3 linked regions of the Arabidopsis thaliana genome follow. The protein of the gene in region 1 interacts with the protein of each later gene in a pairwise test. Each region holds a gene or a part of one and is shown on either strand. Other genes may lie near its edges.

Region 1 (10,448 bases):
CGATAAATCTTTTACATGCCCGTGCTTAGTAGCTGTAGTGGACATGTGGAGTAAAATAAATTGAGTAAATTGTTCTCTGTTCCTGCTATGAATATGGTTTCAACATGTATACGATCTCAAGCATAATGATCTTTACAAGTAGTCTCGATGCCTAGCATTTAGGCCACAGTAATAGTCTTTTGTAATGAGCAAAGTATACACCATTAATCATCTTCATTGTGCTGAAAAATACTTATTCCAGCTAGCTTACCTTTCTAGTACCTCTGGCTTATGGTTTTCAGGGAGCATGCACCATCAATCATCTTCATGGATGAAATCGATAGTATCGGGTCTGCTCGTATGGAATCTGGTAGTGGAAATGGTGACAGTGAGGTGCAAAGGACTATGCTTGAGCTTCTCAATCAACTTGACGGATTCGAGGCGTCAAACAAAATCAAGGTATGCCTTATGTTGTGAATGAAAAAATAGTCATGAAGCTGAAAAGGATAACTCTGTGTTACTCTGAATTTCGCAGACAAAGTTGTTAATTCTCTTAAATGACTGTTGCAGGTTTTGATGGCTACAAATCGTATTGATATTCTGGATCAAGCTCTTCTCCGGCCTGGAAGGATTGATAGGAAAATTGAATTTCCTAATCCTAATGAAGAGGTAATGCTTGTGTTTCTTAGGACATGATATTAGAAATAACTTTAAACTTGAAGTAGCAACTTTGCTCACTCCGTTGTTTTTGGTAAACTATCATTTACTGCGTAAAATACTTTTCTCCATACTTATTGTACCCAAAGTGAGGCAGGACGGTTTGGCTAATGTATATTTCTAATATGTGTTGCAGTCACGTTTTGATATCTTGAAGATACACTCAAGGAAAATGAATTTGATGCGTGGAATCGATCTGAAAAAGATTGCAGAGAAGATGAATGGTGCTTCAGGTGCTGAGCTGAAGGTAAGTGTTTCTCTGTCCCTGCTTCTGTCTTGTTCTCTCCAATCTGTCTCTCTCTAATGTTTTTGGTTATTACGGTCAGGCTGTATGCACGGAGGCGGGCATGTTTGCACTTCGTGAGAGGAGAGTACATGTGACTCAGGAAGACTTTGAGATGGCTGTGGCGAAGGTAATGAAGAAAGACACAGAGAAGAACATGTCTCTGCGTAAGCTCTGGAAGTAGGAATTTCAGAGTCACAGATTAATTTCGATTATTTCTTCTCTACTGTCTGTGGTTCTTTCTGAAACCTTTTCGGCTAGCGCTTTAAGCTTTTCTAAACAATGTTTGTACACTAGTTTCTATTCATTCAAATGGTTGTTCAGCATAACATCTTCGATTCAACCAAGCTTACATTTTACATCTTAAGAGTATATTCTTCTCCAACTCAGTCTCATTAGCTTAAAGAGAAAACCAACTAAAAGATTGTTTGAGACAAAATAATCGACATAGCTTTGTACCTGAGATCCACCGCTGAGGTCAATAGTGAGTGATTTGAATTTGGAGTGTACATTAATTTAGAAATTCAACCCATCTGGCATGTGTCAAGAATAATTTGAAAACTATCCGTTATGAACAATAAAAATCCTTATTGATGAATGGTGTCTATTATTAAAAATTGAGGTATAAATATGATAAAGAAAATAAATAATTTATTTTGTCAAAACCAACGCGTATATATTGTAATGAATTTAATTTCAAAATTTGCTAAATGTGAAAAAAGGAAAGAAAAATCAATGCCGATGAATGAGTACGCGTGGACCTAAAGCTAGAAAAAGATCCAACGGTGGAGAAAGCTGCGTTAAAATTGCAGAAGAACCAAAGAGAAAGAATCCAACGGCCAATAGTGTAGCGTCAACTCAAAGCCAAACCCTCCCAAATTTCTCTTTTAAAAACCCCAATCTCTCTCTCCCTCTCCATCTTCATTCTCCCTCTCGCCGCTTCCTTCTTAACACCATCGCCTGAATTCGCTCTCCTCTAGCTCGCGATTGCGAAAACATGGTACATGTTCTCTTCGATTTTACCGATTTCTTCTTCGTGTATTATCAGATTGTATACCTTGATCTAGGATTATCTCCGTCTCAGATCTCACGAGATTGCGTCGATGTTTCCATGTTCTAGTTTCTAATTTCGTCGTGGATATATTTTTCAGGCTCTACCTAACCAGCAAACCGTAGATTATCCCAGCTTCAAGCTTGTCATTGTTGGTGATGGAGGCACAGGTACGGTACTCTTCGCCGTGTTTTTTTTTATCGATTAATCAATGCTTGGATTTACGTTGATGGTGATTGGGGTGATAGAGATAGGCTCATATGCTAAGCAGATTTTGCTAGTCGACTCTTTATAATCCGTACTGTTGTATCCAGTGGCTCAATTGATTTCAAGTATGGTAATGTGTTTTGATTGTTTTGCTAAACCTTTGATTGCTTTTGGTGGTTGTGCAGGGAAGACTACTTTTGTTAAGAGACATCTTACTGGGGAGTTTGAGAAGAAGTATGAACGTAAGTATTGCTTGTGAATGTTCAGATTTCTGTTCTTCATGTCTCTTAAATGATTCTGATTTTGAGTCGTAATCTTGTTTGTTGCAGCTACTATTGGTGTGGAGGTTCATCCATTAGATTTCTTCACAAACTGTGGCAAGATCCGTTTTTACTGCTGGGACACTGCTGGACAAGAGAAATTTGGTGGCCTTAGGGATGGATACTAGTAAGTGTGGACCCTTTACTTTCTCATTGATAGGTTAGTGTCTAGAGTCAATCTAGAGTGTGCTTAGTTTGGATTAGCTCTGGTTAGGATTTGAAATTGGCAACCGATTAACCTGGACAATGGGTATAAGACTGGTATGTTTTGAAGTATGCATAGTTTGCAACTGATTTTGTTACCTGGACAAATAGAGTAGAACTTGAATTTTAATTTTGATATTCCATCTGGATGTATAGCTAATCATCTTTGAATTTCTTGCAGCATCCATGGTCAATGTGCTATAATAATGTTTGACGTCACAGCACGGCTCACATACAAGAATGTTCCGACATGGCACCGTGATCTCTGCAGGGTGTGTGAAAACATCCCGATTGTTCTGTGTGGGAACAAAGTTGATGTGAAGAACAGGCAAGTGAAGGCAAAGCAGGTTACATTCCACAGGAAGAAGAATCTGCAGTACTATGAGATATCAGCAAAGAGCAACTACAACTTTGAGAAGCCTTTCTTGTACCTTGCTAGAAAACTGGCTGGAGACCAAAACCTTCACTTTGTGGAGACACCAGCGCTTGCTCCACCAGAGGTTCACATTGACATTGCTGATCAGCAGAAGAACGAGGCCGAGCTCTTACAGGCTGCAGCTCAACCCCTCCCCGATGACGATGATGATATCTTTGAGTAAATCATCCTTCTAGAATGTCTGCCGTGGGAAGCTCTTGCTTGTTCCTTTTGGTTTTCTCTATGTTGTTTTGGTGTTACATATAAATCAATCGGTCTTTCTTATAACAAAAATTAGGTATGTATTTTTGGATGGTTCTTCTGATGGTATCCAAAGCTAAGTTGTTTCTTCGCAAGAATATTAGTTGATTGGAAAACTTTATTCTACCTCCTATTACTTGCCAGTTCTTAGATTTCAGATGCCACTCTTTAGCTACCAGGTGATGTCATATAAACCTGGGTAAAATTAGCTGCAAGTAGATCTTGTTGGGAGACCTGACCTGCATTGACAATGGTTAAGTTCTTTGCCTTCCCCGATCTCTCTAGCTTTGCAGATTCTTCTGCAATCCTCTTCCTTTTCTTCTTTGAAACTTGATCTTCTTAATCAATCCGCACCAGAACTTGTAGAATAATAATCGGATAACTTTTTGTTTGGCAACCATTCTTGCATTGAAGAATGAAGTAACCCTTTCCCTCAAATCAACGACCGATTTCAATCCGTGATTCCAGACATTTTCTTCAACCGTGAGCTCTAAGACCAATTTCTGCAAGTTTGAGCTTAAGAATTTATCGATGTGTATATTAATTTCTGGAAATATTGTTGGTATTAATATGTTACCATTAAATTTGAAAGGCATCATTAGATGGATGTCATGTGAGTGAGTACTTGAAATTTTGAAACTATCCGTTACGGACAATAAATCCTTATTTAAATGATTTGTTAGTAAAAAACTATGCTACAAATAAAATCAAAACTTCACATACGATACAGGAAATAAATATATTATTTATTTTGTCAAAACTCAAAACCAGGACCTAAAGCTGAAAAAAAAAAGATCCAACGGTGCAGAAAGCTGCGTAGATATTGGAGAGCCAAAAGATGGAATCTAACGGTGGAAAAAATAGCGTCAAACCTAAGCCAAAACCTCCCAAAATTCTCCTTATTAAAACCCCATCTCTCTCCCTAGTCCCTCTCGCCGCATCGCTTCTTAAACCTCGACGACATCAACGTCTGACTTCGCTTCTCCTCTCACATGGTGAACATTCTCTTCTCTTTTCCCGATTTCTTCGTCTTGTAGTATTTAGATCTCACGAGATCGCTTAATTTCGTTGATGTTTCTTTTTTCGGATTTTACTGAATTTTGTTGTGATATCTTGTTCAGGCTCTACCTAACCAACAAACCGTAGATTATCCTAGCTTCAAGCTCGTCATCGTTGGTGATGGAGGCACAGGTACAGTATTCTTCGCCGTGTTTTTTGACCTATTGTTTTTTGTGATCTCTGAAATTTGATCGTCTTTTCACTGTCCCCATCTGAAAGCATTCTCGTTTAAGAGACGGATTTGAGATTTTGATGATGTGCTGATTAGATTTGTACGATTGGTTTTTGATAATATCAATGTTTGATTGGTTTTAAAGAGAACCTTACAGACTAGGCCTTCGTTGAGCAGATCTTTGGGATATCGATTCTTAGATGATCCGGAATGTTGTTTTCATTGGCTCAGTTTTAGTATGGTTCAATGTTTTTGATTAGTTCTTGCTAAACCTATGATTGCTCTTGGTGTTTTGTACAGGGAAAACGACCTTTGTGAAGAGACATCTTACTGGGGAGTTTGAGAAGAAGTATGAACGTAAGTATAGCAAAGATGCTTGTGAATGCACAATTTCTGTGAACATCATCTGATGTTGAGTCCTAATCTTGTTTGTTGCAGCTACTATTGGTGTGGAGGTTCATCCTTTGGATTTCTTCACAAACTGCGGAAAGATCCGTTTTTACTGCTGGGATACTGCTGGACAAGAGAAATTTGGTGGCCTTAGGGATGGATACTAGTAAGTATACATATCTCCATTGATATGTTTGTGTGTATACTCAATCTAGAGTGTGTATAGTTTGGATTAGCTCTGGTTGGTTTGTGCGTAAAATTGGCAACCGATTTGTTACCTGGACGGTGGGAATAGGAATCGTATGTTGTTGAAGTAATCTGTTAAGATCTCAATATCTATTAAAGTTTGCATTGTTTTGATTAGCGCTGGTTAGGTTGTGAAATTCAAGAACCATCTCACATGTCATGTTTGCAACTATTGTTACCTGGACAATAGGAATAGCTGACTGGGACTTGAATGATAATGGTTTGTTTGATATTCCATCTGGATATATTGCTAATCTTCGGTTTTCTTGCAGCATCCATGGTCAATGTGCGATAATAATGTTTGACGTCACAGCAAGGCTCACATACAAGAATGTTCCGACATGGCATCGTGATCTTTGCAGGGTGTGTGAAAACATCCCGATTGTTCTGTGTGGAAACAAAGTCGATGTGAAGAACAGGCAAGTGAAGGCAAAGCAAGTCACATTCCACAGGAAGAAGAATCTGCAGTACTATGAGATATCAGCAAAGAGCAACTACAACTTCGAGAAGCCTTTCTTGTACCTTGCTAGGAAACTGGCTGGAGACCAGAACCTTCACTTTGTGGAGTCACCAGCTCTTGCTCCACCAGAGGTTCACCTTGACATTGCTGCTCAGCAGCAGAATGAGGCCGATCTTGCAGCTGCTGCAGCTCAGCCTCTCCCCGATGATGATGATGACGCATTTGAGTAAAATCTTCCAAAAATGTCTGCTGTGGTTTTCCTCTATGATGTTTTTTGAGTTGATGTTACATATAAATCAATCGGTCTATTTTAGAACCAAAATTGGGGGAATTATTTGGATTGTTCTGTTTTTTGGGACCCAAAGAGAATTTGCAGTCAAGTTTTTTCTGCCTTAAAGAATATGCGGTTATTGGAAAACTTTGATTCTACCCACTTTTCTTTTACTTTGCCAGTTGCAACATTTTAGATTTTGTAACTATTGTAGCTACTTGGTCATATGAATCAAACATAAAAGGAGAATATTTAGCTGTGCTACTTGAAATTGTTAGTTTAATCACTAGTGTTTCAATTACGTACACAAATCTTCTCATCTCCTTTTTTATGTATAGCTTTTAGGCCATGGCATGAATCATATATACATTGCTAGTCTTCCTCAAGTCCAACGCAAAGATAAAAGAGTAAAGATGATCAAATTTTCTTTCACAAGTTTGGAATTAAATCAAAAAACCTGAATGAAAAATAAAATGACATTTGTACAATCTACACTCAGTTTTTATTCTATGTAACACAAACTGTAGTTCTCAATGCTGCTGCTGCTGCTATCTGTATATAGTACTGTTATCGTCAGAGATAAGGTTTCTTATCTGCATCAGATGTTCCTCATTCGAAATGTTCAATTTGAGACGGAGATTTGTAATCCACGTTTCTTGTTCCCATGTTATGATTGGTCCGGATGCGTGCAATCTCTCGATACTGCTTCGGTATGCATCCAGCTCTAACCTATGAACATCAGCAGCCTCTGAGCCTTTTCTTGGAACCACCAACTTCTTGACCTTCCCGTAGCCACAAGACGATGACTCTGTGTCACTAGAGTTACCGGTTTCAATGGGATTGAATGAAACAGCACTGAGACCATCAGTATCCATGCAACAACTACCAACAGAAGAAGCAACACTCTCTCTATCTTCTTCTTCTTCTTTCACTTCTTCACGAAACCTTGGAGGATAAGCAGCTAAAGCTCTAGTTTGATTGTGAGGTTCAACCAAAGAGTAAGTCCGTTTCTTTAGACCTACTGACAAAGGTACATCAGACTCATCAAGCTTGTCTTTGCTCTCAGATGAAATGTAGTCGCCTTTCGGATTCACCTTTCTCCTTAGTTCTCCTGTTGAAGTCTGTGCGCTTAATCTTGATGTACCCTTCAGCCAAATGGTAAAATAAACAAAATGTCAGCTCAAAAACAGACTTTAAAAAGATATAGTCACAGAGGAAAGAAACAAGTACCTGTCCAATCATGATCCACTCGTTATCTTGCCAAGATTGTCTAACCCGAATATCGGATTTAGTCACCTTGAACTTCAGTGAGGAACCAAGTAATCTAACCAAGAAACAACCGTTTCCTAAAACCTTGGAAACGATTGCCATCTTCCACGAACAACTTTGGAAAACCTCAAGAATGTCACCAGGACACCAAGCATCAAGAACTTGTAAACGAGGAGGCTCAGGCCTCATACTCTTCCTCGGTACCCTCTCTGTACCATCATTATGATCATACATGACAGTGTAGTAATGCCCATTTCCTGATATGATCTCTGCAGACCGCCAGGCGCCAGATGGAACCGATGATTTGCTCAACACTTCGACTTTAGTTCCCTTGTTGAATCTCATGATTGCTGCTTCAAAAACACCTTAAAGTAAATATCTTTTCACATTCCAACTGCTTATAAAGATCAGAATTGAACATCACATATGCTAAAAGGCTGGTGCTTCACAATCATTAAGCAACAAAACAAGATAAATACATCCAAATATCCAGAAACAAGTTGGACCAATAAGATCCATTAGACTCATTCACATCCAAAAAATTCAACTTCAACCAATTGGTATAAAGATTACAGATTGTTTTGCTTCATAATCACTAGATTGCAGAAAAAGTCCTAAATTGCAAAAAACCAAATCCAGAAGCATACAATGGCTTGAAATGTTAATGAAATTGAAAACAGAGTATGACTCAGTTCCTAGGATCAATCTTCATTACTGAGAAATTGATTAGGGGAAGAGAATCAAAAATCTTTAAGCGGACATGAAGAGACTTAAAACTCAAAAATTCAAATTAAAAAAAAAAGAAAAAAAAAATAAATTTGAGATTGTGATTGTGATTACCTGAAAACGAAGTTTTAGTTTTTAGGTTAGTGAATGTTTAACACGCAAAGAAAGCCATGAATGATTCTACTGCCAGAAACAACAAAGCTTTGTTTTTTTTTCTTTGATATTTCTGGGCAACCAAACTTGGATCAAAAGGGCAAATAAAACAAAATTAAAAACGTATATGCAAATAATTATCAAAAGGAACAAAAAAGATAAATGTATATTCCACATCAGCAGCAGCAAGCCAAAAATCATTTTTTAAATGAAAATATTTTTAAGAAAATGAAGAAGAGAATATTTCAAGTTGCATGAGAAATAGCCTTTTTGTTTCATTTTATTTGATATGGGACTATTTTGTGTAAAATAACCAAAAAAAATGTAATTTGATAAGTGAGAATAACTTGATGGTTTGTTGGAAGATATGTAAAAGATTAAAAGTTGAATTTGTTATGTTTTCTTATATTTGAGATATCTAAAAGAGAATTGTTTCAACATTAATTAGACCTCTATGATTTGGTTTATTTTTCATAGGAGTGGTGTATAGCATTTAATTAATTCAATGAATGATTTTGATATGAGTTGACCAAAAGAAAAAGAAGATTAATTGGAAACATGATGTTGTAATCTAGGTGTTGATCAGCCTAAGATAACACTAAACATAACGAAAGTGCAAAATTTATAAATTTAATCACCTTATCTGAAAGTTATCATTATTTTGAGACTAACATATCCCTTGCTCGTCTTATTGGTTCGACATATCAAATACTTACACACTTATGTACGTAATTATAGGATAATCATAGTCTGTAATTCATAGTATAACAGTTTATCAATATGTATTGACGTTACGTTATTTGTTTGTTTCTAGGTGAGCACGAGCAAAGTGCGTGTTCCGGTGTGCCAAAAGTTTCGACATATTTACTTAATTTAAAAACAGTTATTAGAAAAAGAAGGAAAAAAAAACGTAATGGGGATGGTCAGGTCAGGTGGCTTTACATAATTCCCAATTCACTTTTGAGTTTTTGGTCATAAAAAATATTATCGAGATCGTAGGGTCCATATTTTTTGGCTTCTAACGATCAAATTTTATATTTTAGTTTGTCTTTCCCTTGCAGTACTTATTCATATCTTCTTGATTTCACAACGGATTGTGTCATCACCTGAACAATAGTGTTAGAATTATTTGAATGCGACTCCTAATGGTTCATAAGATTTTACAACTTTTGAATTTCTCTTTTTTGGAAATCATTATTGCTTCCTAATTGTATGAGCTCATGAATAAAGAAGGGTGTGCAATATTTTCTTCATACGTGTACTCAAGAACATGATCCAAAATCTTGTCTACTCGTAAAAAGTTTATAAGCAAAACACACTTTTGTTTTGGTTTTGGTTTTGGCTTTTCCGGATAAAATGAAGCAGTGTTTATGCTATTGCGCTTTCCACGCATGAAGCTTCACTCTTACATCCTTCACTCCTGATCCATTCTAACACCGAAGAACAGTCCTCTCGTCTTACGAAATGCCTTCATTAAGAGATTCAACCCATTACCAAACGAAGAAGAATTTAATAACCAAAAGAAAGCCTAATTTAGTGTTATGTTTGATCTTTGTACCTGTTTTTGGAGCGATACCCCTTTAGTTCAGAAGCTTCTCGAGAATCTCTTACGTCTTTGCTCATTCTTAGAGACTCCGGTATCTCCACCATCTCTGCTTCGCTCTCATAAGCATCGTATATGCATTGAAGTATTGAATCCTGCCAGAACAATGAATTATCACAATGCTTGGTTGATAGTATATAAGAGACTGAATAGAACAGAGAGAGCCCTCTTAAACATATACCAGAGGTTTGGAAGCATTGAGCCAGTGGTACATAGGCTCACACCGGAACCATGTCATTTGCCTTTTTGCAAAGTTTCTGCGTATCAAGCAAACCAAGTATTAGTTTAAAAGCGATAAGAGAGGATAACATGGGTTCTTTAAACTTTTGCAGGAGACAAAAAGTGAAGAAATGAATCAATGTGAAAGAATCAAAACAGAACTTCGACTTTCATTTATTCTCAATCACTATTTCGTCCAAAAGCTAATACACTAGATATTTCAAGTCTATGTAGAGGATTCACCTGGATGCTGTCTGAAATTTGTTCAAGAAAGCATAAAATTCTCTAGGGGAACTTTCGCCCTCATATCGACGACATTGTAATAGATATTCCATGGCCTGAAAACAAGGAATCATATTTCCATTGTTGATCAAAAACGGTATCAAAGTACGACAAATAAATTGCAATGATGAAGTCGTAAAGTATTTCATTTTTCCAACTAA
Region 2 (12,940 bases), about 15 Mb from region 1:
GGAATCATAAGACTTGCTCAGTAAAATAGTGAAAAAAATGATCTTCAATTACACAGTGAAGATTGAGGTATGTAAAACCGGTATGTAGTTTGTCTCCAACAAATTTCTTCATTTTTTCTCGGTCCCAACCAGTTGGTAGATGAAAAGCGGTCCAATTAACAAACGGATTCGTCAGTTGTCTCTCGTCGCAACCATTCAATCCTACGTGTAATTCCTCAGTTGTCTCTGGTCTTCAACAAAAGACAAGCCCACAAAGAGAAAACAAAAAAAAAGTAAAGAAAAAGAAAATTGTGAAGCGGTGAAAACAAGAGTTCCAAAAAGGTGGCTCCTTTTTGTTTCTGGAGATGCGTTATTGTGACCCTTCTTTGAAATTTAGGGTTCATTTTCTCAGATTTCGAGTTCGTTGTGTTTGAATCTCTATTGGGTTTACTTTCTTATTCGATTTGGGGGAAATGGCTGATTGGTATCAGCTTGCACAGTCTATAATCTTTGGTTTGATCTTCGCTTACCTTCTCGCTAAGCTAATCTCTATCCTCCTCGCTTTTAAAGACGAGAATCTCTCACTCACTCGTAACCACACGACTCAATCGGAGTATGAGAACTTGCGAAAGGTCGAAACTTTAACTGGGATTAGCGGCGAGACTGATTCTCTTATAGCTGAGCAAGGTAGCTTGAGAGGTGATGAAGATGAATCAGATGATGATGATTGGGAAGGTGTCGAAAGTACAGAACTTGATGAGGCATTTAGTGCTGCTACGGCTTTTGTTGCTGCTGCTGCATCGGATAGGCTTTCGCAGAAAGTTTCTAATGAGTTGCAACTTCAGCTTTATGGATTGTATAAAATTGCTACTGAAGGACCTTGTACTGCTCCTCAACCATCAGCTCTTAAAATGACTGCTCGTGCCAAGTGGTTTGTCTAACACTCTTATTGATTCTCTGATTCAAATGTTTGGGACTGTGAAAGATGATTGCTTGATCATGTTTACTTGTGATGTACTGATGTTTCTTGATCATGGATGTATATTATTTTGATTTCACCAAGTTCGTATCTTTCATTGCTAATGTATGGAAAGGATTGCTTTTGTTGGTGTATTGATTAGTGATCTGATTCAAATCTTATGACTGTGAAGATTGTTACTTAATCATGTTTACTTGTGATGTACTGATTATTCTTCATCCTGGATGTATCTTGCTTTGTGTGAGTACCGAAAGGATTTGCTTTTGTTGTTTTGTTGATTGGTAACTTAGGGATGCATTTTGATCGACTGAGATTTGTTATGATCTTTTTTGTTCTAGGCAAGCATGGCAGAAATTGGGTGCTATGCCTCCTGAGGAAGCGATGGAGAAGTATATCGACCTTGTTACTCAGCTTTACCCAGCTTGGGTTGAAGGTGGCTCGGTTAGTTGTCTTCTTACCTGCTTCTGTTATTCCCATTTCTTTGGACTGTTTATGGATGGTCTGTTTTCGTTCTTAAATCTGTCTTTATTTCTTGGCTTGTTTGCTTCGTTGCGGACTATTAGAAACGAAGAAATCGGAGTGGTGAGGCTGCAGGCCCCATGGGACCGGTTTTTAGCTCATTGGTGTACGAAGAGGAATCTGACAATGAGTTGTAAGGTTCCTAAGCAATTAGTTACAGATTCATCTATGAACTTTTGGTTTTCTTTTCTCAGTTTCTCTATATGACTAGCTGACTAGATCAGAGAAGGAATGTATATATCATAATACTCACCTTAGGTAGATCAAAGAATCATGTGTTAGTTTAAATCATAGTAGAAGCTCTGTTCATTCTTGCGTTCTTACTCCATGTTCCAGGAAGATTGACGCCATACACGCCTTTGCTAGAGAAGGAGAAGTCGAGAATCTATTGAAATGCATAGAAAATGGCATACCCGTAAATGCAAGAGGTTAGTAGTCTTGTATCATTTTCACAGAATGTTCGGATCTGGTTTGGAAACTTAACAGTTTCTCCATCTTGGAAATGTCAGATAGTGAAGGTCGAACACCACTGCATTGGGCTATAGACCGTGGCCATCTTAACGTTGCTGAAGCTCTGGTTGATAAGAACGCAGATGTGAATGCTAAAGTAAATAAATAACCAAAACCCCCTAAACTAATTCTTTCTCTCAATTACAGACTTTTATGTTTTTGTCGCTGACAAACTTTGTGCAGGACAATGAAGGCCAAACCTCTCTACACTATGCTGTTGTGTGCGAAAGAGAAGCACTCGCCGAGTTTCTGGTGAAGCAGAAAGCTGATACAACCATTAAAGACGAAGACGGAAACTCGCCTCTTGATCTCTGTGAATCAGAATGGTCTTGGATGCGAGAGAAGAAGGATTCCAATTAGTGTTTTTTAAGTCTTTAAAATTGTGTGTCAAAGCTAGATGCTTGTGTTTTTCTTACATTTCCTCTGAGCCTCTTTGCTTCCTCTTAAGCTTATGTTTTAACATACAACAACACAAGTTACATATGATATAGTAGCTCTAGTTTTTATTGGTTACTATATTGAACCCAGAGAGATCATCATCATCAATCATCATAACTCAATAATAGTTTTTTTTTTGTTAGTATAATGTTTCTCTCTTTCGTTCGTGACCCTTTCATGTTTTTTCAGCCATCTGAATCATTATTATCATACCTGTAAAACAATTTTGTTGATTACTTGTAAAATTTATAAGTATTTTAAATATGATACAAATTGTACCTTCGGAATAAGAAAAGAAAAAAAATCTTCTTCTTCGCATCTCGCTGTAAAACAATCCGGACCGTTGATTAATTAACGATGAGAATATATAAGGTGGGGTTCAGATAAGGACCACCCAACACGCGATGTACGACATAATCACTCCAGATTATATCAATTCTTTAATCAGAAATATATTTTTAGTGTGCAAAAATCATAAAGAAAAATATTTTCCCTTTTTATATATATATTGGGTAATTCAGATTTTTTTCTATTTATGTTTTTATTTGAAAAAAATAAGATACACTGAACAAACAATTATGATTGGAAACAAATTTTCATATTTAGAAGATTTATACAACTTTTTTTTAATTGGGTAATTTTAAAAGATATTTTCCTATATATAGTTTTTATAAAAATATTAGGATACACTGAACAAAACCTAAATATACAATTGAGTACAAATATATATAAGTTTGGAAAACAATTTCAAAATTAATAGATTTACATAATTTGTGTTCAAAACAGTTTTTTTATTTGTTTATATAAATATTTGGTTAAAAGTTTAATAATAAAATTTAAAGTCCATCTTCACATCCGATTCTTCTCTTCTCTTCTCTCTCTCTCTTCCCTTTTTCGCTGGAACTGATTTTTTTCTTCTCTCTCTCTCTCTCTCTTCCTTCTGGGCTTCTAGGGTTTGTCCTCTCCAGTCCCCGATTTCCGCTTTATCCGATCGGCCGCCGCCGAGATTCTAGGTTACCCTTCTTCACTTCATCTATTCAACTTTCTCCCTAAGATCCATCTTCAGATTCATCACTTCCCAATTCGCTTTTTTTTTTTCCTGATTCGATCTCGATTCGTTCAATCATCCATTTCCAACTTTAGTTTCGATTTGTTCACTGTTTTATGATTTGAACTCGTTCGTAATCTGAGATTTGCTTTTCGATTTTTTAGTTAGATTCATTTGTTCTATTAACTTGTTGATTTGGTCATCTTAGTAACTAGTTTGATTTCGTGTTTTATATTCGATTTCGTGCTCGGATCTGTTGTTCTGGCTGTTATAGTTGAATCTGACAGTGTTTTTAAGCGTCAATGGCTCGTGCTTTGATCTCTTATTGCTATTACATGGTTTTTTCGATTCATAGTGATTTAGTAGTCTTTCACCTTTATGGCTTTTTGGATCGTTGACGAGTTTCTTCATGTTGTTGGCTTAATTTACTGATTCTGTCTTACTTCTTCTTTATTTTCAGTTTTGCTGAATCTGTTTGTTTCTGTTGCAGATAAACCTATGGCAATGGAGGTTACGCAGTTGCTCATTAATGCTCAGTCGATTGATGGAACTGTACGTAAGCACGCGGAAGAAAGTCTTAAGCAGTTTCAGGAGCAAAACCTTGCGGGTTTCTTGTTGTCGCTTGCTGGAGAGCTTGCGAATGATGAGAAGCCAGTAGATAGCAGGAAATTAGCTGGTTTAGTCCTTAAAAATGCTCTTGATGCTAAGGAACAACACAGGAAGTATGAGCTTGTTCAGAGATGGTTGGCTCTAGACATGTCAACAAAGTCGCAGATCAGAGCTTTCTTGTTGAAGACACTGTCGGCACCTGTGCCTGATGTTCGTTCGACTGCATCTCAGGTCATTGCTAAGGTTGCAGGTATTGAGTTACCACAGAAGCAGTGGCCTGAGCTCATAGTGTCTCTTCTCTCAAATATTCACCAGTTACCTGCTCATGTCAAGCAAGCCACTTTGGAGACTCTTGGATACCTATGTGAAGAAGTGTCACCTGATGTTGTTGAACAGGAGCATGTAAATAAGATACTCACAGCTGTTGTTCAGGGTATGAATGCTGCTGAAGGTAATACTGATGTTAGACTTGCTGCAACCCGTGCTTTATACATGGCTCTCGGATTCGCCCAAGCAAATTTCAACAACGACATGGAGCGTGATTATATCATGAGAGTTGTGTGTGAAGCAACCCTGTCCCCTGAGGTGAAAATTAGGCAGGCAGCTTTTGAGTGTTTGGTATCTATCGCTTCCACATACTATGAGAAGTTGGCGCATTACATGCAAGATATATTCAACATCACAGCTAAGGCTGTAAGAGAAGATGACGAGTCTGTTGCTCTACAGGCAATTGAGTTCTGGAGTTCTATTTGTGACGAAGAGATTGACATCTTAGAAGAATATGGTGGTGAGTTCGCTGGGGATTCTGATGTTCCATGCTTTTATTTTACTAAGCAGGCTCTCCCTGGTCTTGTGCCTCTACTGCTGGAGACTCTTCTGAAGCAAGAAGAAGATCAAGATTTGGATGAAGGGGCTTGGAATATTGCAATGGCAGGTGGGACATGCCTCGGTTTGGTTGCTAGGGCAGTTGGAGATGACATTGTTCCACATGTCATGCCGTTTATTGAAGAGAAAATATCAAAGCCTGATTGGAGAGAGCGAGAAGCTGCAACTTATGCTTTTGGTTCCATTTTGGAAGGCCCTTCTGCCGATAAGTTGATGGCAATTGTTAACGCAGCGTTAACATTTATGCTCAATGCTCTAACAAATGACCCAAGCAACCATGTGAAAGACACAACCGCATGGACCCTTGGTCGGATATTTGAGTTCCTTCATGGTTCAACAATCGAGACACCTATTATTAATCAGGCAAACTGCCAGCAGATAATCACAGTACTCATCCAGAGCATGAATGATGCGCCTAATGTTGCCGAGAAGGCTTGTGGGGCTCTGTACTTCCTTGCTCAAGGCTATGAGGATATCGGTCCCAGTTCTCCGTTAACACCCTTCTTCCAGGAAATTATTAAGTCACTTTTAGCTGTTGCACACAGAGAGGATGCAACTGAATCACGCTTGCGGACTGCAGCATATGAGGCATTGAATGAAGTTGTCAGGTGTTCAACTGATGAAACGTCTACCATGGTTCTGCAATTAGTACCAGTGATAATGATGGAGCTTCACAATACTTTGGAAGGGGAAAAGCTTTCATTGGATGAGAGGGAGAAACAAAACGAGTTGCAGGGACTTCTATGTGGATGCTTGCAGGTCATCATACAGAAATTAGGATCTGAACCAACCAAGTCTAAGTTCATGGAGTATGCAGACCAAATGATGGGACTTTTCCTGAGGGTGTTTGGTTGTAGAAGTGCAACTGCACATGAGGAAGCCATGCTTGCCATTGGTGCTCTTGCTTATGCAGCAGGTCCCAATTTTGCCAAATACATGCCTGAGTTTTATAAGTACTTGGAGATGGGTCTTCAAAACTTTGAAGAATACCAAGTGTGTGCTGTTACTGTTGGTGTTGTTGGGGATGTCTGCAGAGCATTGGAGGACAAGATTTTACCTTATTGCGATGGGATTATGACACAGCTTCTGAAAGATTTGTCGAGCAACCAATTGCACCGATCAGTGAAGCCACCGATATTCTCCTGTTTTGGTGACATAGCACTTGCTATCGGTGAGGATTTTGATAAGTACTGGAGGTATTCAATGCCGATGCTTCAGAGTGCCGCAGAGTTATCTGCTCACTCGGCTGGAGCTGATGATGAAATGACGGAGTACACAAACTCATTGAGAAACGGAATCCTTGAGGCTTATTCAGGCATATTTCAAGGTTTCAAGAACTCCGCCAAAACCCAGCTCCTGATTCCTTTCGCACCCCATATCCTCCAGTTTTTGGACAGTATATACATGGAGAAAGACATGTAAGTTTGGTTACGACCCAACTGAATTTCTATTATGTCATAGCAGTTGTTTAATTTTGTGGTAAAATTGCCTTGGGACAGGGACGAGGTGGTGATGAAGACAGCGATTGGGGTCTTAGGAGATTTAGCAGATACACTAGGGAGTCATGTGGGTGGTTTGATACAACAGTCAGTGTCAAGTAAAGAGTTCTTAAACGAATGTTTGTCTTCTGAAGACCACACAATTAAAGAAGCAGCCGAATGGGCGAAGCATGCCATAACCCGTGCCATATCTGTTTGAAGGCTCTTCTTTTGCCTATAAGAAAGAAAATTCCTTTTGCTTTTTAGTAAAGTCTGCATGCATCTCTGGGTGGGTTGAGTCGGTCGGGGGGAGGGGTAGAGCTGCAACATCCGAGTCACATCAGCATCATCAGCATCAGTTTCATTTGCATCATCAGCATAACTGGGGTCAGTCAGGGAATCGTTGAGTCGTGGATGTGGGGAATGATGAGTTTTGGGGTAAATAATGAAACTGGAAGAGTCACGGGTGAAAGTTTCCCGGGTAAGGTTAAATCCCCGGGAGTAGAAAGAGGAGGAAGTGAGTCATGGTCGTTTTCTGGTGGGTTTTGGGACAAAGTTATACCAAAAAAAAAAAGGTTTCATGGAACATCTCATAATACATTCTTGTTTTTTCTTTTCTCTCATATGTTCTTCAACCCCTTGAGGAGGGAGAGGTCTCAGGTTTTTATCAAGTGGGGGCATTATTAGAGGACAATCCCTTGATTTTTTCTTTTGTTTTCTTTTATTATTTGGTTAGTTGCAGTCTTTGCATCATCATTTTGTCTTTTGGGGGGGTTTGTATGTTTGATTAAAAGCATTATTCACATTTTTATTTTTATATAAAGAAGTTTCACATGTCTGTCTATCTTCTCTTTGCTATGATGCAGTTTAGGGGGTTTTGCATATATACTTGTGTTTTGTTTGCAATCAAGTTTCAAATGTCACATACAGGAACATTTTTATTATATGGTGTCATGTCTTAGGGTCTTAAAGAGGTCCACATCTATTCATTTTACTATGGAACTGTTTACAATCGTTTAGAATCCATTATTTGATTTGGCTCGAACTATATGGGAAAGGGCACATGTTAATAGGAGAAAACGTCCTGCCTTACTCTGCTTCCAAAGAGTCAAGTTAAGAGATCGAAGAACATTTCACATTCACGCTGTTTATGGAAACCTCAATTTTGATTGTATGTGTTGCTTTTTTTTGGTTTTCCAAACGCCAAATGCAACTGATACCGAACCTATATTTTGAAAAATGTTTTCATGTGTATTTGAAACATTCTAGACCATTCAAGTTATGGTTTAAATTAGTTTCTCTCGGTTCTATGTATTAGTCCCAAACCATGTTTCTGACGTCTCGAGAATTTTTCTCTTGAACTAAATATATAATGTCATAATTCATTCGACATATCTTTTTCGAATTGATGATTTAGGCGAGAGAAACGTTGGTTCTGTTGGTATTTTTTTTTTTTTCATTGTGATGACATACCCATTTAAATCTCACTCAAATGGACAATAAAACACATAAAAGATAGATGATGGCTAAACATCCAAGAGAAATAGGACACGCCACTCTGAATTGAAATTGGGAGTTGAAAAAGAATGGTGGTAATACGAAGTGGGCCTTTTTTATTGTCAAAGGACTTGTCCAAGCACACCCACATATATCACATACACTGATACACACACAAAAAAAAAAAACATTTTTGTCGTCCGCGACGATTTTTTTCATATTCAAATAATTTCATTACGGCGTTAATACTTTATTTTGCGACTTTAAACTTTACCTTTAGTCTTTAAATGCAATACTGAAATAGCACCGAAAGATATATGAGCGTCGTCAGCTGAAACTGCCAAAAAAAGGAGAAAATCTTACGATCCAAGTTATTAGTCAAAAGAAACATAATTATTGATTAAAGCATGAACTTCTTGCGACAAAAAATAACTCCAATTTTTCTTTCAATAGCTATTATCTAACACATTTTACCTTAAGGTTACGGATCAATACATTTTTAAAAATAATAATGATTAGTAAATACTTTCTTAGAAGATGAACGCCATTAAAGAAAACTCTGAAAAAAAAAAAAAAACGGATGTTTTTTAAGAAAATTAATTCGTTTAGTAGGACAACGAAAACCTAATATATAAGCTAATTTAATGGATAAAAACTAGAACTTTGGTTCAAACTACATTTATAGATCTAACTATGCGTTCTCATTGCCTGATGGCTTTCATTTTTTGATGTTGTTCCTTCTAATGTTGATACGCTCTTAAGCGATGATGTTATTGGGTATGTGCGCCTAAGGCAAGTAAGTTTGTAATTTTTCTTATAATTTTTAGTCTCCCGTCTTCTACAGAAAAAAAAACTACACTTATGAGATGAATTGTATATTAAAAATTTAAAACGAAGGAAATATTTAAGAAAAGTAGTGAAATTATTAGTTGTGGGTGTCTCGTGATTTATTATTCGCGTTGTAAACTATGTTAGTATTGAAATTGTGTTTTTGTTCTCTTTTTTTTTTAACTAATAGACGTACGTTTTTTTTTTGTCAAAGACTAATAGATGTACGTTTCGTCGTCTTTCTGTGTAGTTGACATTGGACAACAGAAGTTAAGACTTAAGACACGTACGTTGTTGCCCAATAAAACATTGCTAATTTAGTGGCTCATTGGTTTCTTATTCATCACTCCTTTTAAACGCAACATATAATTGCCGACACATTGATTATTTCCCTACTCACGAACTTTCCCTTTTTTTTTTTTTTTTTTGTGAAGTCATGCATAGTCTTCGGACAGAAGAGCTGCACGTACATGTGTTAACTGTTAAGTGAATAATGTTTTAGATAGTACAACGATTCTACTTAAGCAGTTTAGCTGGTTTAATGTACGTGTAGTCTATATTAGTTTTTATCATATTCAGATGCTGAAAAAGAATCTGTTTCATTTTATTTTTTATAGAAAACTGCAGATATTTACTTGGAGGTTGTGAGAAAACATTTTAAGATGGAAATAATTAACCAGTTAAGAAAGTTGAAGTGCGAAACCATTTTTTTATATGAAAGGATCTATAGAGGGGATTTATAAAGTCTTCTAATCTAAAATATATGGGTTATGGTGCAATACACACACACATATATATAAGTATAACCATTCATATGGTGACTTTTTGGGGGTAAAAGTTCTTTAGTTTTTGGGATTTAGTAGAATTATGGATTTTAGGTCAAAACACATAATGTTATGAGGAACGATGTTTATTAATTGTAAAATAAGATTTTGGGGGATAGTGGTCTCTCACTATAATAATGGGTCACTTAAAAAGATGCACTTCTCTGATACATTTTGCAGGCCACTCGCTATGTCTGTCTCAATCCTAGTTGACTTCTTATAAAGTTGTGAAGGCCGAAATGGAAGGATTAGTTCCACTATTTCTCTTTATTTGTATCAAATTATTTAGTGTTTGGTACCACGGATTTTAAAATCTGCCCTAACCATCTTTTGACTTCCTAATTACTTACGTTATTCCCCTGTCTAGGAGTTGCCTACCATGTTGGTTTATGTGATCGAAGTTTACTGAACTTAGTCTATCTATTTTGATCCCTGTAAAATTTACATTGACCGCAAGGAAAATGTTTTGATTCCACATTTAAACTTTAATTTACTAGTACTGATCTTTGTTCTAATATGTCAACTGTACATGGTGTATTTAAATATAACAACCAAAATTTCAAACAGAAATTGGATTAAAAGGTTTTGAAAATAATCATTGGATTAATAAGTGTGTTCAAGTTTGGGTATTTGTAGGGTCTTTGTTTGAAAAGTGTGTACCCTTGATACAAATCTTCGCTTTCGTTTTGATTCATTAACAGCATTGAAAACTTACAATAATTACGTACGAGTTTGGTATGATTCCATCTTTACTTTTGATAATGGACCCAATTATCTTAGCAGAATTCAATTTCCAATAAAATTTTGCGTCAATAAGTAGACTTAAGATCACACGTGGTGCTGCACTCATCGAACCTATGATACATTACAGCTGTATGGGAAAAAGTGGTGAAAACAATGGGCTTAAAAGTTAAAACTTAGATTAAAATCGATCATGTAACCAGAATGAAACTTTTCCTTTAAGAAAATATATTGGTTTTGACTAAAATCATCTAAAATGAAACATCACTTAGAAATAAGAACTAGTATAATAGAGAGTGTTTTGAGATCAAACCGATTAAAATTGTAAAATAAAAAAAAAATGTTTTCTTTTTTTAATGAAACTCAAAGGATATAATGAAAATTTATATGGTCAAGAGATGAACTTCCACTCAAGTTAATGAATTAGGTCACTTTTCTTGCATCAAACAAACCTTTTTTCATTATGATTTGATCCACATATATAACCTTTCGGATGGCTTAGGGCACAACTTACTCTAATTCAAGTATTTGATGGTTCCCACTTCACTTGGTTCACAAACATTTACAGTTAGTAATCTATACTCAGATTTAACTTGTTATTCCTAATTACATTTTCCTATCTGGCAAATTAACAATATAGATAAACTATTTATCTATCATCAAAAATTGATTGCCAGAAGAAAAAAAGGCTAATTAAAAGAAACGTCAACTTTTTGTTTGGTAGTTAAAGTTTTGTGACTTTTGTCTATAGTATATCTAGTACGGTCTAATTAACATAATCATAAGATAAAAACGATATACAGAATTTGAAATTTGAACAATGTCATGCTATAAGGAAAAGTGTGTTAAGAAAAAAAGTGAGGTTACTAGCTAATATACGATTTTTGTCCACAAGCATAAATAGAGGTAAGCGTTAAGTGTTCCTTTTTGGGAGATGTAACACAATCAACAGTTAAGTTGACTTTTTCAACCTTTTCTAGGGTTTGTGGCCTGTAGGTTCATTGCGTTAACCCAATAACTTCTTATTCTTCTCATTTTTGTTCTTGCTACTATCATCACCATTTTGATGTTAGTAGTCTCACCACTGTTTTCACCTTTTTTTGATAATTGTTTTGTGATATATAAAAAAAATCGATATCTACGTGATATTCTTATTTTAAAAAGTTATATTGATAAGAGCTTTACATATTTTCATTGTCATAAACAGAACCAACCATCTTAGTCATGGTCATCATCATTGTCATAGTCATCATCATCACCATTACGACTAATATTATACATGGACCATAACAGTTTCCACCACATTAACTTGACCGTTTATAAAATGGGAACTAACCTTCCCCATCTTCTCATATGAAAATCCATTTTGTCCTCATTTTCCATTGATTAGTTGCATTCTCTCCCCTAAACGAACAAAGAGTAATCATCAAAAACCATATAATATGCCTCTTAGGATTGAACCCCTATCTCTACTCTTCCTCATTCTCATTATATGCTCTTCATCATTAGGTAAACATATAATTGATATTCATATATTCCATCCTTTTCAATTTATAGTCTTTTAACTTTGTTTTAAGGGATGACTATCAACCTTGCGTCCCAACACATCCATCTTAGTCCGAGATCAGCTTTTGGTATTATCTTGTTGAACATTAGTCTTTTCTTCGTTGTTGAATCTAGTGCCTTAAACTACCTTAATACCATTGATTATTAATTACTATTATATTGGTGAACACTTTTTCCATTCTTTCTCCAAAATTAAAACACATCTAACTAACTAGTATGGGTTGAAATAAATAAGTCACTTAAAGAACAATGTATATTCCGCTAACAGAGTGTTTTCTTTTAGCCATAGTGGAAGGCTCTATCCAGCTCGACGGTGCGAAGATGCATGAGAGTTCCATGCTTTACAAGGTATACATCATACATGTAGATGCTTTACGTTTATATATGTTCTTATCAACATTAGAAATGTTGTTAATGTCCAAATATTGACAAGAATTTATGTGTTTATAATTAAAAAGAGTGAGGAGGTGGGTGTGAAGAAGATGGGTCATAGGAAGTTGATGTTCCACTCGACAGCGGACTACGACGACGCAGGACCCAACCCTAAACACGACCCAAGGAGAAGGCCCGGAGGCAAGGGTTGAATCATCAACACAGAACTATCTCTGTCATTATATATATAGTAGCATATATATAAGCACATGCACTAATATCTATATATCATATATGAATATGTATGTGATGTATCCTCCATTCTGACTCTTTTTGTTTGAGGATGAGCTCAGTGTAAAATACCCTTCGGAAACCCGCTAGTGAAAGGATTAGTGTCTAATAACAAGACATAATAAATCCTTATTTATTATCATCTTATTTCATTGACATATATAATATAGCCATTATATCCTGTGTAATCGTTATATCAGAAAATAAATAAAGTGTTATGGTTATTTTTAGTTCTGTATAGTATTATTATAAATGCGTCTTCTACAATATTTCACATTAGTTGATGATTTCAATCTTATGCAGTCAAACACATAGTAAAAAACTCTTTATCAGCATGATCACTAAACGAAAAAGAAATGAAGACAGATTTTATGCT
Region 3 (9,801 bases), on another chromosome or scaffold:
GATAGATTCAAATAGCTCATCCACCAAATGAACAGTTACAAAGATGTGTCCTTTCTCAGTGAACTGCCAGAATATATATAAATGATCAGCTCCGTTGATCAACTCGGATGCAAGGAATGGTCAGAAAAAAACATAATAAAAAAGTTTACCTTAATGGAATTACCCATAAGATTTGTGAGTATTTGTCGAAACCTCCCAGGATCACCAATTAACATATCTGGAACACGATCAGATATGTATACTGCCAACTGCGTTCATCAGCAACACTCAAAAAATCAGTAAGAAAGACTTGCTATCAGTTACAACCCTTGCTTTGCAGATCATATAGTAAGTTACCTCCACCCCCTTTTGTTGGGACTTGCTAGAGAAGAGTGACAGGACATCATCTAATATTCCTCTCAAATCAAACCGCACCTCCTCAAGTTCAAGCTTTCCAGATTCAATCTTTGCTTGGTCCAAAACCTCATTTATTAGCGAGACTAAAGCTTTTCCACTTGCCTGTGCGGTCCTAACATAATCCTGTTGCGTAACATCTAACTCTGTGTCCATAAGCATATGCAACATTCCTACACCCCAGATCAAAGTCAACATGAGAATATTTGGTTAAGTTTGTTCTTCAGAAAATATTCATGGGCATAGGTGAGAGAAGGAGGCAACATAGTGGCCATTTCGATACTCACCTAGAACACCATTCATTGGAGTTCTGATTTCATGTGAAACAGTGGCAAGGAACTGCATAAAAAAAAGTTAGATTACAACTCTTCTCTCTGTCATAGAAAGTTTAATATGCTGTGGAAATTTATCAACTGAGGATGATGTATTTACCTGTGACTTTGCAACATCTGCTGCTTCAGCCTTTTTCTTGAGCTGCTTCATTTTATCACAATCTTCTTCAACTTTGTGTATTCGACTAACGGTTGCGTGGATTATATGTGCAACAAGTAACGCAATCACAAGGATACCGAATGATGTCACCATTGATAGCACTGGCCATGGTGGTTTCTGCTTAAATCTACAAAGAGGAAGAAGCTCACAACAAAATGTTAGCACCTGGATTCTTGCAAACAAGAAGAAATTACAGACATATGTATGTGCCAACTGCAAGTACCTGCAACGCATCTCATGCTTTCTCAATGGATCGCCAAAGATTAGTGGACTAACACGTTCCAACCCATCAGCCGACACATTTGTACCATACATGCTAATCGGTTGAGAGTGATTGGTGATATCGTACACATTGACAAGAATCGTTTGCTTGCTAGCCAGCTGTTGAAGCAAGTTTTCTACCAGGGACTCAATGTCAAACACTCCCCCGAGATACCTTCAGGGGCATCAAAAGAGATGAATGAGCAAAAATAATGTTGTAAAACTTATGCGTTATTATTTATTTAGACGCCTATGCTACACACCCGTTAGTAGCCTCAATTCTCTCTTTTGGCGTTGCATTGGAGGGGAGATCTCTCTTGTACACTGCAAATGTCAGGATCACCCCAAGTCTATTTGTCTTTATCAATGGGAAAGGAGCTGTCAAAACCCCTTTACCTGAACTCCTGGCCCGCAAAACGTTTTCACGATCTTCCTATCAAGAGGAATTGAGTGAGAATAAGTATCAGTTAAAACAGTGCTCTAAACTTTAAATAAAATGATCAAAACAACTTAATCGGTAAGCCGAGATTGAAATATGAACTAGCCATGTCGGCAGGATTCGCCCGGTAGTGAGTGTAGACCATGATAGTAAATTACATAAAAACAGTAAAATTAGAACCAGTAAAGAAGCTTACTTTCCCAGACAGCATATCGAGAGAAACAACGTGAGAAACAGTGTCCTGAGCAAAGATGACTGGAGCGTACTCTTCTTGGACAGGGGATGGTTCCAAAGCTTCCAGGTCATAGTCATCCTTGTGAACTGGGTTTTGTTCAAGAGAATACATCTTCCTAATAGTCCAACCTTGTTGCCTCTCGAACTCTTCCCTCTCTGAATGGAGCACCCTCATAGCATAAGCTACCCCGCTAGTAAGAGGCCTCTCAAAGGAAGTTCTATCAGTGTACTCTGAGAATGTTCTCTACACAAAGCTTCTTAATGTTAGTTACTGTTCACTAATACTCAAGAAGATAGGAATCAAGCTACCAAGTGTTAGCTAAATACAAAGACTGTAAGCAACAATCAGCAAAATTGTAAATCCTAACTGAAATTCGAGAGCAAGTTGAATGAAAAAAGCTACCATCATCCAAGGACCGTTCATATACTACACCGTAGGAACAACTTATGTACTACAAGCAAGACTAGATCTCAGGCATCAATCCAAACAGATTAGAAGACAAGAAGATGCGGAATCGAGAATACCTGATCGATAGCAGAAGGAATCTTGCCATGGTGGAAGGTTGAGATCAAGATAGACATGGCTTGAACATGATTCATGCTAACGTTGAACTGATCCTGCAGCATACGAGCTCTCTCATCACACATACTAGCTAGCGTCTCTTTCCTCTTCTCCATAGCTTGCGAGCTAAAGTACCAAAACGTCCAAATAGAGACCAAGACCCAGAAGACAACCCAAACCACCACAAGCTTCCTCCACCACGCCTTGTTGAATTTAACAGAGCCAAGAAACTGATAAGAGAAACTCGGGATCTTGAGTCCGCTGCTAGAGATCTTATTCCAGAACCACATCTTGTTCTTCTTCTTCAACGTAGTCATCTTAGTCTTCTCAAGATCACCGACAGAGCCAACTAAAAGACCAGACTTGTCCTCGATCCCATTATCAACGAACCAAGAAACAAACCAGCAGCATAGCATCCAGAAGAGATGCCCAATCTTGACACCAAACCCTAGCACATGGAACAGACTCATCCACCACTTGAATACACGATCAACCCCCAAGAAACAGAGTGATTGCAACCAGCTCAATTCAACTCAGCAAGAAGCTCTAACAACCAAACAGAAACCATGTACAAAAAGGGACGAATCAGAGAATCAAAAAGGAAGAATTTTTTGGGGTTGGGTATTTAATAATTAATCCTTGTAGGCTTCCCACAAACGAGAAGAGAAAAGGAAAGCTAAGACAGAGGAACGTGTCAGATTAGACAACCCAAAGGCTGAAATTGAGAGATCAAAGTGGTTACTTAATCAAAGATGACGAAAGATAAGAGAGAAGAAAACAAAAACAAAATAAACAAAGGTAGAAACTTTGAACAGGAGCTTAAAGTTTCCAAAGCGAGATTCCTCGAAATCTAAAACAGGAAACTAAAATTCTACAAGGGGAGTACGAAAATTCGCTAGAGCTTGCTCCAATACAACAGAAATCTTTGAGTGTGATGATGATGAGTGAAAGAGAGCGAATAAAGCAACGAGAAGAAGAAGAGGAGCTGGAGACTTGAGTGAATTATCAAATGGAGAAACTTAAGAAAGAGGAGCAGAAGTAGTAGTAGAAGAAGAAGAAGAAGAAGAATCTATCATCGGAAAAGATGAGAAGAATATGGTGGAAGACAAATGTCTGCTTCCTTCTCTCTCTCTCTCTCTCTATTATCTGATTATCTTTCTTTTCTTTTTTCATTCATACTTCCATTAATATATATTTTAATCTTAAGCTGCTTATGTACTCCTAAAAAAAATACAGATAAAATTCAAACACAAAAAATTATATCCTGCTGATGATGATGTTAAAACTCGATTCTAGAAGAAAAATGTTCATAGTTGAGATTCTTTGAGTTTGTTTAGTAAGATCTGATTTTTATAAACAAGTTTAGAACCTCATTAATACTACTATTAATAACACCAAATGATTGGTAAAATAACTTACCTCTATTTATATATAAAAGAAAAAACACTAAACGGCGCAGGCAAAAGAAAAAAAAAGGCTAAAGGGACCCACAAGAAGGGAACAAAGGCATATATGGTCTCAGTTCTCACCCTCCAATAATAAAAATAAAAGGCGTGTTACAATTTATTATTATGAAAATGGTTTTTTTGCAGTAGTTGGTAAAGTGACCAAAATTGTTTGGCCATTTTATCAAAACTAAACTACACAAAAGAATTATACAAGTTAGTTTAACCAAAGCTTCCTTCTTTAGTCAAATAACTCTATATATATAACTCGGTTTGTTTTTTCAATTTCAACATACACTTTCCTTTAAAGAAAAAACAAATGGCTAAAACAAAATACAGAATCATTTATTTTCTTGGTACGTCATCTGTTTTACACGTGTCGATATCTTAAAGCATAATCATTTCATTTTGTTTGCAATTGCTTACATAAATTTATTTTTTTAAAATGGGATTGCTTGAAAGTTGAAACACACCAATCAACGGTTGTTCTCTCACCCATGAATCATGATCCTTTTTCTTCCACCTCGATCTTCCAGATTCAACACATAGACATAGGATTTAACTCATTTTGTTTTAGATCTTTTAGAATTTAAAGGATTACTTTACAAGTTATATTATAAGAGACTTTCTTTTTATTTCACAAAGATAAATGTTTTAAATTTTCTATCCAAAATTAATATTTCATTTCATAATTTTCCATGTTAGTTAAATGCTTTAAAATATTATCTTAGTTATATCAGAATTTGATTAAAAATCTTTAAATGGTGTAGGAATCAAATGAAGTTAGTCAATTTACCAATTGAGCTATACTGTTGATTGTCCCATATATTAACGGGCCCAACTTGAAAAATATAAGGCCCATTTAAAGTATCGTCAAACACTCATTTCAGTATCTCTAGTCTTGGTCCATTCGTATAATTTTTCAGTAAATTATCTAACCCTCTCGATCCTCTCTCGCCTGTTGAAAAAGCACGACGCAAGAGCTAAGGATCAAAAAGGAAGACGAAGAAAGAGATGGATCCAGACGCTGTTGCAAAGGCTTTCGTTGAGCACTACTACTCCACCTTCGATGCAAATCGTCCAGGGTTGGTTTCTCTATACCAAGAAGGATCCATGTTGACCTTCGAAGGCCAGAAGATCCAGGGCTCTCAGAACATCGTCGCTAAGCTCACCGGCCTCCCTTTCCAGCAGTGTAAGCACAACATCACCACCGTCGATTGTCAGCCTTCTGGTCCCGCCGGTGGTATGCTCGTCTTTGTCTCCGGCAATCTTCAGCTCGCTGGTGAACAACACGCTCTCAAGTTCAGCCAGGTTTTTTTTTGCCTTATCTCTTTCCCTTGGGTTTAGATCACTTCGATTTTTAGTGTTTCCTTTGTATTCCTCGCTGTTGATCATGTACGATAGGGTTTTTATCCTTACTGCTCTGTAGATTGATGTGTGTATTAGGTCACTAAAAGCTTCAATGATCTGGAATTGTCTCGAAATTTTAGACCCTCCCTGATGCATTTAGTGATAGATCTGTGATAAGGTTGGAGATAAAAGAGGTTTCCCCCAAATGATTGCGTAGATCAGTAGATGTAATCTTGTGTCATTTAGATTTTGTCTTGTGGAGCTTCTATCTCCTTGCACTTCGTGAATGTAGTATTGGGAAACTGCTTTGCCATGATTCTGCTAGTTTTTTTCAACTATGCTCATATGTGATCTTGTTGTAGTTGTAGATATGCCACCTTCTTGATTAAATTGTCTCAACTCTAAATAGTTTGAGATGCTTGCAGTGTTTGTATCATCTGCCGTAAGACATTGTTTTCTCTTTTTAGTGTTGAACGCTCTTTACTAGATTTGTTCGATAAGAGATGTTTTTGTCATTTTAGTTCTTCATATCAAGGTACTAATTGTGTTTTGTTATCATATTTGTATGAACATCAAACTTGTGGAATGTATGTATAGAGCAAAGTGGGATGAATTTCTGTCAACTTGACCTACTTGTAATGAGCTACGTATGCATCTCTTGTGTTGTGAATCACGCACTGGATCACTATATGATTGTAACATAAATCTGATGACTGCTTGTTGTTTGGATTTTGCCTGATTCCTGACATACTTGTGTTTTGTGTCCAGATGTTCCATTTGATATCGAATCAGGGAAACTACTACGTGTTCAATGACATATTCAGGTTGAACTATGCCTGAGGAATTTGATGCCAGAGGTACATGGAACCATTATTGGAAGCTGAAAAGAGAGTGGTGGAAAGTTTGGGACTATTCAAAAACTGTTTGAGTTGGTTTTAGATTTGGAACATTAAGCTTTGTTTCAGGTGGTTTGCTGTCTGTTTTTATTTTAATCAATGGAGCTATTTGTTACTTTGTTTGAGATGACTCCTTTTGTTTTCGGGCACTGAACCATGATTCAGTAAGGGTAAAACAAAAGATTTTTTGAAATACGGTTCTCTTTTGGAACCCTTTTTCATGTGGAAAAGTTTGAGAAAGCAACTATTCTTTCGCATTTTGATCATATAAAAGTAAACTACTTATACTAAAAGCAAAGAAACAATGAGGGTGACCCCTGTTCCTAAATAACAACTGGTATTATTGAGTCACAAAGGGAAGCTATCATTCTTCATCGTCGAAACCGAATTCTCGCAACAGCTCGGGCACTTGAAGTTGAGGTCCAGTGTGTGATCCATTCCCATGGTTGTTTTGGTCATTGGAGTTGGAAGTCCCCGCAAGTTGGTTCTTGATTGGACGTAACTTACCTTTGAACATTCCATTAAGCATACCTCCGATGGATCTGACTGGGTGGCTTATTCTATCTTTCAACATGAAAATCATGGAGTACTCAGAGAGCTGCCAAACCAATGTCAGGATGATCGTAGCCGAGAGAAGTACATGGGTTATTTTGTTCTGCTTCTTCACCTTCTTGATGTCTTTAGCTATTTCTTCTATACTTTCTTCCAATTGTCTCTGGCCCTCGCTTTTTCCTTTGGATGGTGAAGAATCTGCAGATTCTTCTTCTTTTTCTTCTTCTTCTCCGGTTATGACATCTTCTTTCCCCTTGGGGTTTGGTGATTCCAACTAAGTTATTGGCAAAAAAATTAGCACAAGCCTGAAATGGACACATCCCAATACAAATAATGTTGTGGACATGAAACAGCAACTAAACACAATCATGAAGATAAGCTTGTATTTGTTGGATCTCATCAAAATCGAAGCAGACACATCACAGCGAAACAATTACACAGACTCACTCAAATACTCATGATTCAATCATATACCCAGAAAGTTGATTGGCTGCAACATCAGATAAATCAACAAAGGAGAAAACAGAGCGATGGTAAAGTACCTGAGAGATAAGGCTAGAGAGGAAAAGCTGATCATCAGCGTCTTCAATGAAGGCGTCACCAGAAGCTTCTCTCTTCCTCTTCTCATGAAGAAGCTTCTCAATAGCTCTACTCAGATTCTCCACATCCTCACTGGACTCCATTTCACAAACCCTTCTTCTCTAATCTCACCGCCGCTCCAAAGATGCGTTTGTTGTTTATTGTGTTTTTTTAGGTAGAGAGTATTTTTGTTTGTATTGAGAAGGCAAGTCAGGACACGTGACATCTATTGACGGCACGGCACCTCTACCATTTTTGAGCAATTTGACATTGAGATGTGCAAATAGCGTATAGTCCTCCACTAAATAAATATACTTAAACAATAATAAAACATGTAATAACACACACAACTCTGCACGACTAAACCTCGATTCACACTAGATTCCGTGTGAACTTGAAGAGACAATTATTTAAAACCATAAAAGAGATCAAGAATGAGCAAATATTGTAAGAAGATTTAAAGGAAGAGATATCAACACAGAGTGTTTCGAAAATGCAAGGAAATCGAAAGAAGTGCAACAGAAATCCTAAAATCTTTTTGTATGCTTTAAGAAATGATCATGTTACATAAAAACGACATACATGAAAGCACAAATAACAAGGCTTCTCTATTTCTAACAGTAGTTAAATAGAAAAATTCTTTTTTCGAAATGTAAAGAAATATAAAACTCCCTGATATCCACATGATTTTCCCAAACCCCCCCAACAAAATACAGATAAAGAACATAGAAAAACTCTATCGGATATATGTGTTTATATAATCAATCCTTCTTCTTCTTTTTTTTGTTCTGCTTCGCTCTGCTCTGCTTCCGGATGATGTATAGATTCTTCACCTCTGTTGTTTAATCATTTCACAGAAGCTTCCATTCTGCGAATAGACATGTCAAACACAAACATTATTGCAAGAACATGAAACTAATACAAACATAGGTTTAATTTCAGACAACAAAAGTAATGTGAACATGAATAATATGATCCACGAGGAAACAAAAGAACAATATCGTTTCAGTCAAAGACAGAACAAACATCGGTGTGCTTTTCAATAAAACCCTAATTCGAACCTCCATTTCTATCAAAATAAGGACAGAACCAAAACCCAGTGGAATCATTTCTAGATGATCAATAAGGAAACTTTGGTTAAAATCTAAACAGATCCGAGACGAAAGTAGAAAGCTTGAATCATTGAAACCAATTTGACAAACTTAACCCTAAAATTCAACAAAATTACCAGAAATCTCCTTTCCGGAAGGAGAAGGTGGCGTCAAGACGTAACAGAGAATCGACCTCCCGACCATAGAAATGGCAGAAACGATGCCAGCGACATAGAAAACCAAAATCAGAGCAAGAACCCAAGGCATCAAGAGAAACCCGATGAAGAAAGTCACAGATCCACATAGCATAAGAGCCACAGATATACCAAGCAGCAACGACGCGAATCCAGACGGAGAAATATGAGCCAAAGAAGGCGAAGAAGACGAAAAACGATGCGAAGAAAAGGGAGGACGAATTCTAGCGGGCGGATCGGGGAAATGATCAGGTAAAGAAATCGGCATAGGAGGAGAACGGAGAAGATTCAAAACAAGAGATGATAGATCGTAGAAAACCCTAGATTGTTGTTCATCTCGTTGCCTTCTCATCATCACCACACAAACCAAAAGAAAACACCAATCTAATCCAAAAGAAAAATTGCTTGAGGAAGAAGATAACTAAAGGGTTTGCTAAAACCGAGGCGAGAAGATAAAAGAAAGAGCCGCAAATTTGATTGGGTTAGAGGGAAGAAGGTTTAATGGCGATTGCCAACAAAACACGATAATCTCTCTGTACACACAACAAAAACGATCGAAATTTCTGCAATAAAAGACTTTTTTTTTTTTATTAATGAAAAAAATCTAAAATGAAGAATCGTCGTGTTTTGGATAACGAGAAAAAGTAAAGGGAAGGAGCGTGGGGACACGCGATGGGGTTGGCGAGTGAAGAAGGGAAAGAGACAAAGATGGGACCCAGTTATGACGCGTAGTTGGGTCTTATCTTCTACCACATTCTTATCTAACCTCTCTCTCTATTAAATTTGTTCCAATCATACCAGAGAAGTCGTTTTCTTGTTTGCTTTTTGTTTAATTTTTTTGGTTATTTAATTTTGACTTTCGTGTATAATGTTCGTGAATCAAATAAAGACTGATAGCTTTTTGCGAGAATGACCGCACTTTAAGCTGTCTATCGCTGAGGTTCAAAAATCAGGCTACTTGCTGTTGGAAAATGAAAGGATTTGTGAAATGATTAGTAGACTCAAGATATTATCATTAAGGTCCATGATGAATTATTCAAACAAATTAGATGAAGTTACCATTCGATTAAAACCCATTTAAGTTTCACAAGTCATATAACTAAAATTGTTTTGCTCAGGGCCCAGTATGAAAAATCAAACCAAAACTAAGAAACAAGTGAAAGTGCAAAGCAAAATAGCCCACAAAGAAGAAACATAAACCACGAAGCAGCTTCGGTTGCCCTTTAATGAGTTCAGTTATCTATGGAAATACAGATACTGATGACAAGCAATTGCAACATCAATTCAGAGAAAGAGAGAGGATTACAAATGTG

Evidence for each region.
Region 2: the proteins of RAN-1 (region 1) and AT5G53480 interact in a two-hybrid assay, tested with the Arabidopsis thaliana proteins (one study listed by BioGRID).
Region 3: the proteins of RAN-1 (region 1) and NTF2A interact in a two-hybrid assay, tested with the Arabidopsis thaliana proteins (one study listed by BioGRID).

Annotation. Positions count from the first base shown.
Region 1 is NC_003076.8:6,758,388-6,768,835, forward strand, and holds RAN-1 (RAS-related nuclear protein-1), read left to right. Parts: upstream 1-1,706; 5' UTR 1,707-1,976; coding exon 1,977-1,979; intron 1,980-2,130; coding exon 2,131-2,200; intron 2,201-2,422; coding exon 2,423-2,479; intron 2,480-2,566; coding exon 2,567-2,684; intron 2,685-2,942; coding exon 2,943-3,360; 3' UTR 3,361-3,943; downstream 3,944-10,448. Other genes in the region: AT5G20000 (AAA-type ATPase family protein), read left to right, coding at 282-438, 550-648, 833-943, 1,023-1,163; RAN2 (RAS-related GTP-binding nuclear protein 2), read left to right, coding at 4,430-4,432, 4,559-4,628, 4,969-5,025, 5,107-5,224, 5,577-5,994; AT5G20030 (Plant Tudor-like RNA-binding protein), read right to left, coding at 6,584-7,180, 7,266-7,649; IPT9 (isopentenyltransferase 9), read right to left, coding at 9,552-9,651, 9,742-9,881, 9,968-10,043, 10,249-10,343. UniProt on the Arabidopsis thaliana protein: GTP-binding protein involved in nucleocytoplasmic transport. Required for the import of protein into the nucleus and also for RNA export. Involved in chromatin condensation and control of cell cycle.
Region 2 is NC_003076.8:21,710,045-21,722,984, forward strand, and holds AT5G53480 (ARM repeat superfamily protein), read left to right. Parts: upstream 1-3,200; 5' UTR 3,201-3,438; intron 3,439-3,963; 5' UTR 3,964-3,971; coding exon 3,972-6,385; intron 6,386-6,466; coding exon 6,467-6,665; 3' UTR 6,666-7,834; downstream 7,835-12,940. Other genes in the region: ACBP1 (acyl-CoA binding protein 1), read left to right, coding at 453-910, 1,297-1,399, 1,522-1,610, 1,814-1,905, 1,987-2,084, 2,171-2,347; AT5G53486 (uncharacterized protein), read left to right, coding at 11,778-11,844, 11,913-11,969, 12,185-12,249, 12,360-12,485. UniProt on the Arabidopsis thaliana protein: Acts as a negative effector of drought tolerance. Involved in the regulation of stomatal closure and in the abscisic acid (ABA)-mediated pathway that lead to drought tolerance.
Region 3 is NC_003070.9:9,480,830-9,490,630, reverse strand, and holds NTF2A (nuclear transport factor 2A), read left to right. Parts: upstream 1-4,628; 5' UTR 4,629-4,840; coding exon 4,841-5,137; intron 5,138-5,944; coding exon 5,945-6,016; 3' UTR 6,017-6,315; downstream 6,316-9,801. Other genes in the region: HK3 (histidine kinase 3), read right to left, coding at 1-63, 150-248, 337-566, 681-732, 826-1,012, 1,109-1,321, 1,410-1,579, 1,782-2,063 and 1 more; AT1G27300 (uncharacterized protein), read right to left, coding at 6,437-6,898, 7,167-7,307; AT1G27290 (uncharacterized protein), read right to left, coding at 8,055-8,071, 8,432-8,843. UniProt on the Arabidopsis thaliana protein: Facilitates protein transport into the nucleus. Interacts with various nucleoporins and with Ran-GDP. Could be part of a multicomponent system of cytosolic factors that assemble at the pore complex during nuclear import.